Rattus norvegicus: one gene and its partner. The main gene of each other region encodes a partner of the protein of the gene in region 2 in a complex. Links are inferred from orthologs where the notes say so. Each region holds a gene or a part of one and is shown on either strand. Other genes may lie near its edges. The genes, in order: Fgf8 and Fgfr2.

Region 1 (3,903 bases), about 60 Mb from region 2:
CACCTGAGCCTGGCACTTTCTGTTCACAGCCTTGGCCTGGCTCTCCCAAAGTTGACTCAGCGCCATGTCAACAGCAGCCTAGGCAGTGCTCCCTACCCCCAACCCCTTGGACACTGGGTAATTGCTCTTCAGCTTTTGAAGTCAGGTTCTATAGACTATAATCAGTTCTATGGCCTCTGTCCTGTTACTCATATAGATTAGAGCTACAGAGCCAAAGGGGCTCCCAACCTGTCACCCACAGAGGACTCCAGCATGTGCTTCATTTTGGCCCTGGGGCTTGGGAAGTGTTAGAGCAAGGTGGTCCCCATCTGAGAGATCCAAGGCCAGCTCAGAATCTTTCTGTGCCCCCTAGCTGTCTTCCCCACAAAACCCTTTCAGTGGAATAGAAGAGAAAGCTGGCAAACAGTTCCTTAGATGGAGGTTGGCCTTGGACCTGCAGTTGGGACAGCACCGTAGGAAGGGGCTATTCCTGGCAGGACTCAAGCTCCAACACACACTTCTACTATGCAAGTTAAATTAACACTTTAGTCATTTAATAGTAACCAGTACACAACCACCCCTCACTGACACCCACCCCAAGGGACTGACCTAGGCCTAATCTTTTTTTTTTCTCCCTACCCTTGCCTGGGGTACAGAGTGGCCTTGGTTGGCCTGACCAGGTGCCCTGCCAGTGCTGGGACTTCAGACTAGAGAGCCCTCCACCCCAGGGAGCCCCAGAGCAACCCAGCCTTAGGTCACCAGTGGGCTTTCCTGAGAGCTAAGAAGACAGACACCACAGCCAGTGGAATACAAAAATAGAGCCTCTCTTTTGTTTAAAAAACAGAACAAAACAAAACAAAAAACCCAACAGCAAACAATATGCACAACTAGAAGGCAGCTCCCCAGCTCCTCCCCTTCGCAGTGCGGCCGAGCTCTCCCTGGAGTCCGCAGGCAGGCAGGGAGGGGCCGGGCGAGCGCCTATCGGGGCTCCGGGGCCCAAGTCCTCTGGCTGCCGCGCAGGCTGCGCGTGAAGGGCGGGTAGTTGAGGAACTCGAAGCGGAGGCTCTGCTCTGTGGTGTGGTGGCCCCGCGGCAGGCGCTTCATGAAGTGCACCTCGCGCTGGTGCTGGCGCGTCTTGGAACCCTTGCGGGGCCGGCCCTTGCGGGTAAAGGCCATGTACCAGCCCTCGTACTTGGCGTTCTGCAGCGCCGTGTAGTTGTTCTCCAGCACGATCTCCGTGAACACGCAGTCCTTGCCTTTGCCGTTGCTCTGCAGGTAGTTGGGGGGTAGGGGTGAGGGGGCAGACGAGGTGTTACAGAGCCTCCCTCCTAGTGAGGCAGAGGGCCAGCGGCCCCAGACAGCAGGTGGGCACCCCAGCAGATGGCAAGGGGAGCCTGAGCCCGGCCCCACCCCCTACCCGGGCACCCGTTCTCTAATCCCTCACAACCCACAGCCCACCCGGCAACTTCCTGTCCTCCTGGGCAGCAGTGACACATGGCTCTCCACGGAGGGGCTGGGCCCGAGGCAGAGGGGCCCAAAGCCTGCCTGTTCTGGCCTACTGCCCACCAGTCTGGCCTGGGTTGCGGGAGTTTCTCCACCTGCCCCCCAACTCCCCAGCATCTCTGGACTCAGAATCAGCCCCCCCACTCACCCGGGACAGACACCCTATGTGGGGGAGGGGAAGCCTAGGAGGGACTCTGAGGCCCAGGCCCTGAAGCCTAGGAAGTGGGGAGCTTGAGACTGGAGAGGAGCCGTGACTAATGGGGTCATTTCAGAGCTAGGCCGAGGGGCTGGGCCTGCGGCTTACTGAACATTCCAAATGCTGGTACCATGTAATTGGACATAATAGCAAAGCAATTTGGCGATTTGTAAAAAAGATATATGGAATTTGCATCACCACCCCCATCCCCTTCCCTAGCCTTCCTCCATCTTCTTCATAGGTTTTAGTCTCTCTCTCTCTCTCTCTCTCTCTCTCTCTCTCTCTCTCTCTCTCTCTCTCTCTCGTTTCTTTCTCTTAGTCCTCCCGTCTAATCATTAGGCAAACCCTGAGGTAACCAAGGTACCATCCATGCCTCTCCAGACTCACCTTGCTGGGATTAAAGTGTACTAGAGAGGCTCAGTCAGTCCATGCCACCTCTCAAACCCCACTTCCCTTCTGGAGCCTCACCTTGGCGATTAGCTTCCCCTTCTTGTTCATGCAGATGTACAGACCGGTCTCTGCTCCGCGGACTCGGACTCTGCTTCCAAAAGTATCGGTCTCCACAATGAGCTTTGCTGTCAGGATAGTTATGGGAATGGATGGTCAGTAGATCTGTGACCTCTGTGCTCTATAGCTTTATCAGGGATGCACCCTATCCCTGGAACAACCGTTCCAAGGGCGAGAAACACAAAACACAGCTCCAGCCCAGTCCATTTTCGGACGCACTGGATAGCCCTAAGGAAGATGGACTCTTCAGGACCTGAGACTCCACCTCTGGGCTTGCAAAGGGTCTGGGACAAATAACAGTTTACAGGGTAAGTTTCATAGATAGGTTTGGATGCATTGAATCTCCATTCCTTTAGCCCCTTTTTCCATGCTAGAAGCTTTTTCTTTTTTCTTTTCTTTTCTTTTTAAGGTCGAGGTGCCAAGTAAAATTTAAGCTATGTAGATTCCATAGCTGTTTGAGAGGTCTCTGAATATCCTTCCAACCTAGAATATGAGCTCACACCCCACAGATCATTAAGAACATCTGGGAACAGTGGTAACCTCCTATCATGAAGCTAAAGGTAAAAACATCCACTGTTCCTTCCCAGTCAGGTCTAATTCCCAGCCCTGGCCATCCTTCACCCCTTGGGCAGGCTTGTTCTGCAAGAAATGGCAGAGGAGGCTGGAGAGATGGCCCAGCATGCTGTTCCTGTAGGGGGCCAAAGTTCAGTGCTCACAACTGCCTGGGACTCTAATTCCAGGGGGTCACACACACACACACACACACACACCATACATACATACATATATAGTTCAAAATAAGAGACTCAGAGAAGAGGCGGAAGAGGGTGCTTTTCCCTATACAGACTTTAGCAGCCTGCTGTCTGGAACCAGACTCAGATCCTGCCCTTCTCCTTCAGGTTGCCAATCTTTGGAGTCCAGCTCCAACACGTACAGACTCTGACAACTCATCATTGTCTTTTCTCTCTTCACCTCCATTATAGCAGGGTCTCTTAGGCATTGGCCAAAGCTTTCAGAGGTGAAGCTTTCAGAATTCAGGGCTGAATTCTGTGCCCTCCTCTACTTCCTGTTCACATGAACAGCCTGCTTGCCCCAAAAGCTGCTCCCAACCACCTCTTCCTATAATTGCTCTCTTAGAGGCTATTCCCAAGGAGAGAGGAAGAGCTGAATTAGATGGTGGAGCAGCAGAGACTGCGTCTCCTGCCTGCCCTGCCTCAAAGCCCAGACCTTTTCCTCCTTGAGAAAGCAGTCCTATCTTGACAAGTGGCTCTCTATATACAACCAATACCAGTGGTAAGGAGGCACAGGGACCACCAGGGAAGGCCTCACAATGCCTAGCCCCTGATTGCCTATTTCACATAGACACAAAAGTGGGATGCAGAAGCTGAAGTCCTCAGTCTGTCCCCAAAGTCAGCTGGGAGGAACAACTGTTTACCTCTCCTTCTGCTCACCTCTCCAGGCAAACTGTTGATTCCTCTCATGTCTGCTTTGTAAAGCAAGAAGCAATTGCTTCATGGCCAGGGAAAGATGCCGGCTAGAGGGGGTTACAGGACCCTGCTCTGAGTATCATATTGCAGAGTGGGTACCTCTGCCCATTCTCGGCTCCTGACGTAGCAATTGGGACCTCTCCTCTGCTTTCTTCAGTCTGTGTACCTTAATGCCTCTTTCATGGGCCTTTTGGAGGCCCAGATTCAAACTTCTGCCCTTCAGGCAGAAAC
Region 2 (3,803 bases):
GCACCACCTTGTCCCCACTCGCTGGGGATGGTAATGGCCAAGGCCACCATCAAGGCCAGGAGCTGTGCTTTCTGCTCTTTCTGTCCAGGTCACTGGTGAAAACTTAACCTCAGAAGGCGCCTGGGGACATTACTGTTCGATGACGATTGGTGCCACCGAACTCAGTAGCAGAAGAACCAATCCAGGCTCTGAGACTTCTCTGCATTTTCCAAGCCCGCGCTGGAGAAGCTCCACACCTTAAGACGGTTTTCTGTTCTTTCTCTCCTTCTCCTCAGCATCTCCCGACTCTGGCTGTGATTCGAATCTCATGCAAACCCTGAACCTAGTGAAGTGTACCCAGGGGCATTGGCAAAGTGTGACCTACAACTTCTGGGGCTTCTCAGCCTTCCTCCCTAACCTCACATGTACCTACAGGTCCCCAGGTGGAGGACCTGCTTTCAACAATGTGAGCATTGTTGGATATCAGTTCTTACACAAAGAGCCGTTTGGGGGACTCCAGCCCACTGTCCTTCCTCTCCCCCACCTGTCTTCTCCCTGCGCATAAAAACACCTTGTAACCTTTCTCAGGTAATTAGATGGAGTCCAGGACCATTTTATACCCTGCACTGAAATCAACTCACAGCAACACTGCCCCGAGAGTCCAGATGAAAAATGACAATTCTTTCCTAACGGGGCTGTTTCTGAAGCCCACGCCGTAGGAAACCTCGGCTCAGCTTCCTCGGTTTGTGCTGAACCACACACTCCAGGGAAAACCAGCAATTAGAGGAACATCCATTTTAATTATTAGCAAAATTAAAGAAGTACAGACCAGACTTTCAGAAACCCAATCCTTTCCTCTCGCATTAAACCCTTTGAAAAACGTGTCCCTGTTGCAAATTACACTTTCCCTGACGTCACAGGATAAGTTACAAAGAGGTGATTCCAAAAATGGGTGTGAGGCTGTATGCTGAACCCTGAACACAAGCTCCTACCACATTTCCTTTCCAAAGACACCTGGCAATTTATAACATTTTCAGGCATCTGTGTGCCCTCCCCCCACCCACCCATCTACCCATCCCCCACACCCCACCCCACCCCACCTCACTCACTCACACACACACACACACACACACACACACACACACACACACACACACGTCTCATTCACACAAAGCCAGTGAGAATGCCTGAGTGGATCTTACTGGGGACCCCTCTTAGATGGATACAAGCCCTCCTTGGGGACATCCTTGGGGGGTGGGGTTTCTGTCCCCACCCCTTACCATCCCCCTCTGGACGAACTGCTCCTCAGGACCCTGATTCAGGGTGTGTAACAACAGCAACTCAGCTGACCCGCCAGCACTCAGGACCATAACGGACTCCAAAGCCAGCCGGCACCAGGTGGGCCCTCGGCAAACACGTTCATTAAGTGGCGATGAGTGCTGCGATCTGCAGTGTCACGCTCGGATTACCACTCAAAAAATAACTCGCCTACCAATATTCCTTCCCGATGACAGATTCCCATGCTGCACCAAGCAGAGAGGCTTGGCTATGGACCCCGGCTCTGAAGGACCTGGGAGAAGGACCAGCTCTTTGCCCAGCTCAGGATTTTCAGCCATCTTCTCCTCCTCACAACTAGCCTATTTCTCATCTGCAACCAAGTGTGCAGAGCCAAACACTAGTGAAATCTGGCGTTTCCTCGGATGGGGGAGGCTCTTGGCCAATTCACTTTCGAATCTTCCCAGCATAAAGCCTGCCCCTCTGTGATACTGGACGTAAGCACAAAGCTTACAGCAGCTTAAAACTCAATCCAGCATGGCACGGCTCTTGGTGCTCAACTTCAGAACCACTGTTTCTCCTAAACAACTCGAGAAAACGTCAGCCTTCAGAGGCTGCCTATCTCCTTTAGCCAAAAGATAGTGGATTCAAGGCTTTCCCTCCATCTAAAAAAGCAACCGCAGAAGGCCACAGTCACCCAGCCAGGGTATGTCCCCTCCAGAGTGCTGCAAAGAACTGCTGCCACCTCCCTCACCCAAGCACAGAGAACAGGGCAAATCAAACCACTCCACTCATGCCTGGGAGCCAAGACCCTCCCTTCTACGGTCTGATATGGAAGATGTGGAGAGAGATCACCCTCATAAGGCAGCAGGCTGAAATAGGCCTTCCGTTCAAAGACCACTTCCCCCAGACACATCCCCAAAATAACTTGGTACCCTTAAAATGACATGCAAGAACTTACCTTCTGGTTCTAAAGTGGTATCTTCAACTAAACTGAAGGAGGGCCGGGCCAGGGACAAGGTTGCCATGGTGACCAAGACCAGGCAGATGAAGCGCCCCCAGCTGACCATGGTCACGGTGCCAATCCCTGGTCCTGTTCCATATCTCCATGTGGACGGTAATCCCATCTGCACACTTCTTCAGGGACCATGGGCTACCTGCAATGCCTTCAGCCCACGGGGGGCTCAGGAGCCAGGGCGCTGCTGTGGCTTGCTCAGGCTGTTGTTGCTGCTGCTGTCGCTGCTGCTGCTGCTGCGGCCGCCCCTGAAAGAGAATCAGCCAGATTCAGTCTCTCCCCCCGTGCCAGCCAGCTTAAACCCAGATGGGATAAAAACCGTTTCTCAGCCTCTCAATACATTCGCAAACACATTTTTTCTCATTATCGGAAAAGCCTTCCATCCTCACCTCAGCGTCCCAGGTGTTTCCAGAGGCGTCCACAAACTGGAGTAAACCAATCTTTTCAAAAAGCTTACTTTTAAGACACACAAAGATAAACCATCACTATAGGACCCAGCCACCCAGCCATGCAGTGCGCCCCTCCATCCACTATCAAGCCACCAGGTTGCTGAAGCAACTTGACCTTCCTTCCTCTCAAGGACAACTGCAAAAAAAAAAACAAAAAAAACAAAAAAAAAAAAAAAAACCGAGTTTAAAACGCTGGGCTTGGCACGACCAGCCTCATTAACTTCTCTTATTCCAGCTGGCCTTTAAGAAGCTGACTGGAGGAAGGGTTTGCTCTGAGAGCCGCATTTCAGCTGAGCCGAGCTGCATGTCCCCCGCTCCAGAATGGTTCTCAGAAAGAAAAGGAGACCGACAGAATCAAAGAATCTCAGGAAGGCTACAAAAAAATTCCCACCAGTTTACACTTGTCAGAATTCATTTTCAAACGCGGGCGTGTATTTCAATCTTTCGCCAAGCCGCCACTTACAAAGAGTGAGTTTAATCCAACCGGGGGATTCAAAGCCTGAATTCCCTTCCACTGACTACGCGGCAGTGTACAGGCAGGCATACTAACTAAATACCTTCAGCGTACGTCAAAGGGGTAAAGATACAGAGCAGATACAAACCTTGAGGAATAATTCAAGATTCTATTAGGAACGGTGATGATATGTACAAGCAGTTTGTGGTGTGTGATTGGCCTGCGAACTTTCAATATGTAACCTATTGGCTAAACTTCCCAAGTATCAGTTACAGGGGGCACTCAACTCATTAGATCCAAAGCAGAGAACTTCCCAAGAAAGCTTACCACAGTACAAATAGCTTTACGTTTGTTCAGTGTCTTCAGTGACTCAGTCTTGAGTCAGAATGCACAAGCTCTTAGAGAATCTGCTCAAACAGGAAAGGATCGGACAAAGCCATGGGCTTTGGATCCTGTGGTGTGCACATTTTATGAGACTGGGAATGGGTGAGCGTTTTAGAGAGAAAGAGAGAGGTGTCTAATCCCACACTTTTGATGCTTTCAATTAGAACACAGGATTTCGATCGACACTGCCAGAACCTCCCTGAAGCCCTCCCTATCCTAGGATCTGTTCCTTTCACCCTTCTCTGAG

The links.
Region 1: the proteins of Fgfr2 (region 2) and Fgf8 are in contact, whole or in part, in a crystal structure (PDB 2FDB), measured with the Homo sapiens proteins. The link is inferred for Rattus norvegicus from reciprocal best matches to the Homo sapiens genes FGFR2 and FGF8. Residues at the interface, in NP_000132.3 of Homo sapiens: Glu160, Lys161, Glu163, Lys164, Leu166, His167, Ala168, Val169, Pro170, Asn173, Asp247, Val249, Arg251, Ser252, Ser282, Asp283, Ala284, Gln285, Pro286, His287, Ile288, Gln289, Ile291, His293, Leu309, Val311, Leu312, Lys313, Ala314, Ala315; in NP_149354.1 of Homo sapiens: His53, Val54, Gln57, Asp62, Leu64, Ser65, Arg66, Leu68, Ile69, Arg70, Tyr72, Tyr75, Arg77, Gly80, His82, Val106, Glu107, Thr108, Thr110, Phe111, Gly112, Ser113, Val115, Thr148, Glu149, Ile150, Val151, Leu152, Glu153, Asn154.

What each region holds. Positions count from the first base shown.
Region 1 is NC_086019.1:254,532,722-254,536,624, forward strand, and holds the end of Fgf8 (fibroblast growth factor 8 isoform 2 precursor), read right to left. Parts: intron 2,254-3,903; coding exon 2,147-2,253; intron 1,249-2,146; coding exon 958-1,248; 3' UTR 783-957; downstream 1-782. UniProt on the Homo sapiens protein: Plays an important role in the regulation of embryonic development, cell proliferation, cell differentiation and cell migration. Required for normal brain, eye, ear and limb development during embryogenesis.
Region 2 is NC_086019.1:194,274,154-194,277,956, forward strand, and holds part of Fgfr2 (fibroblast growth factor receptor 2), read right to left. Parts: intron 3,136-3,803; exon of another isoform or gene 2,659-3,135; intron 2,518-2,658; 5' UTR 2,382-2,517; coding exon 2,216-2,381; intron 1-2,215. UniProt on the Homo sapiens protein: Tyrosine-protein kinase that acts as a cell-surface receptor for fibroblast growth factors and plays an essential role in the regulation of cell proliferation, differentiation, migration and apoptosis, and in the regulation of embryonic development.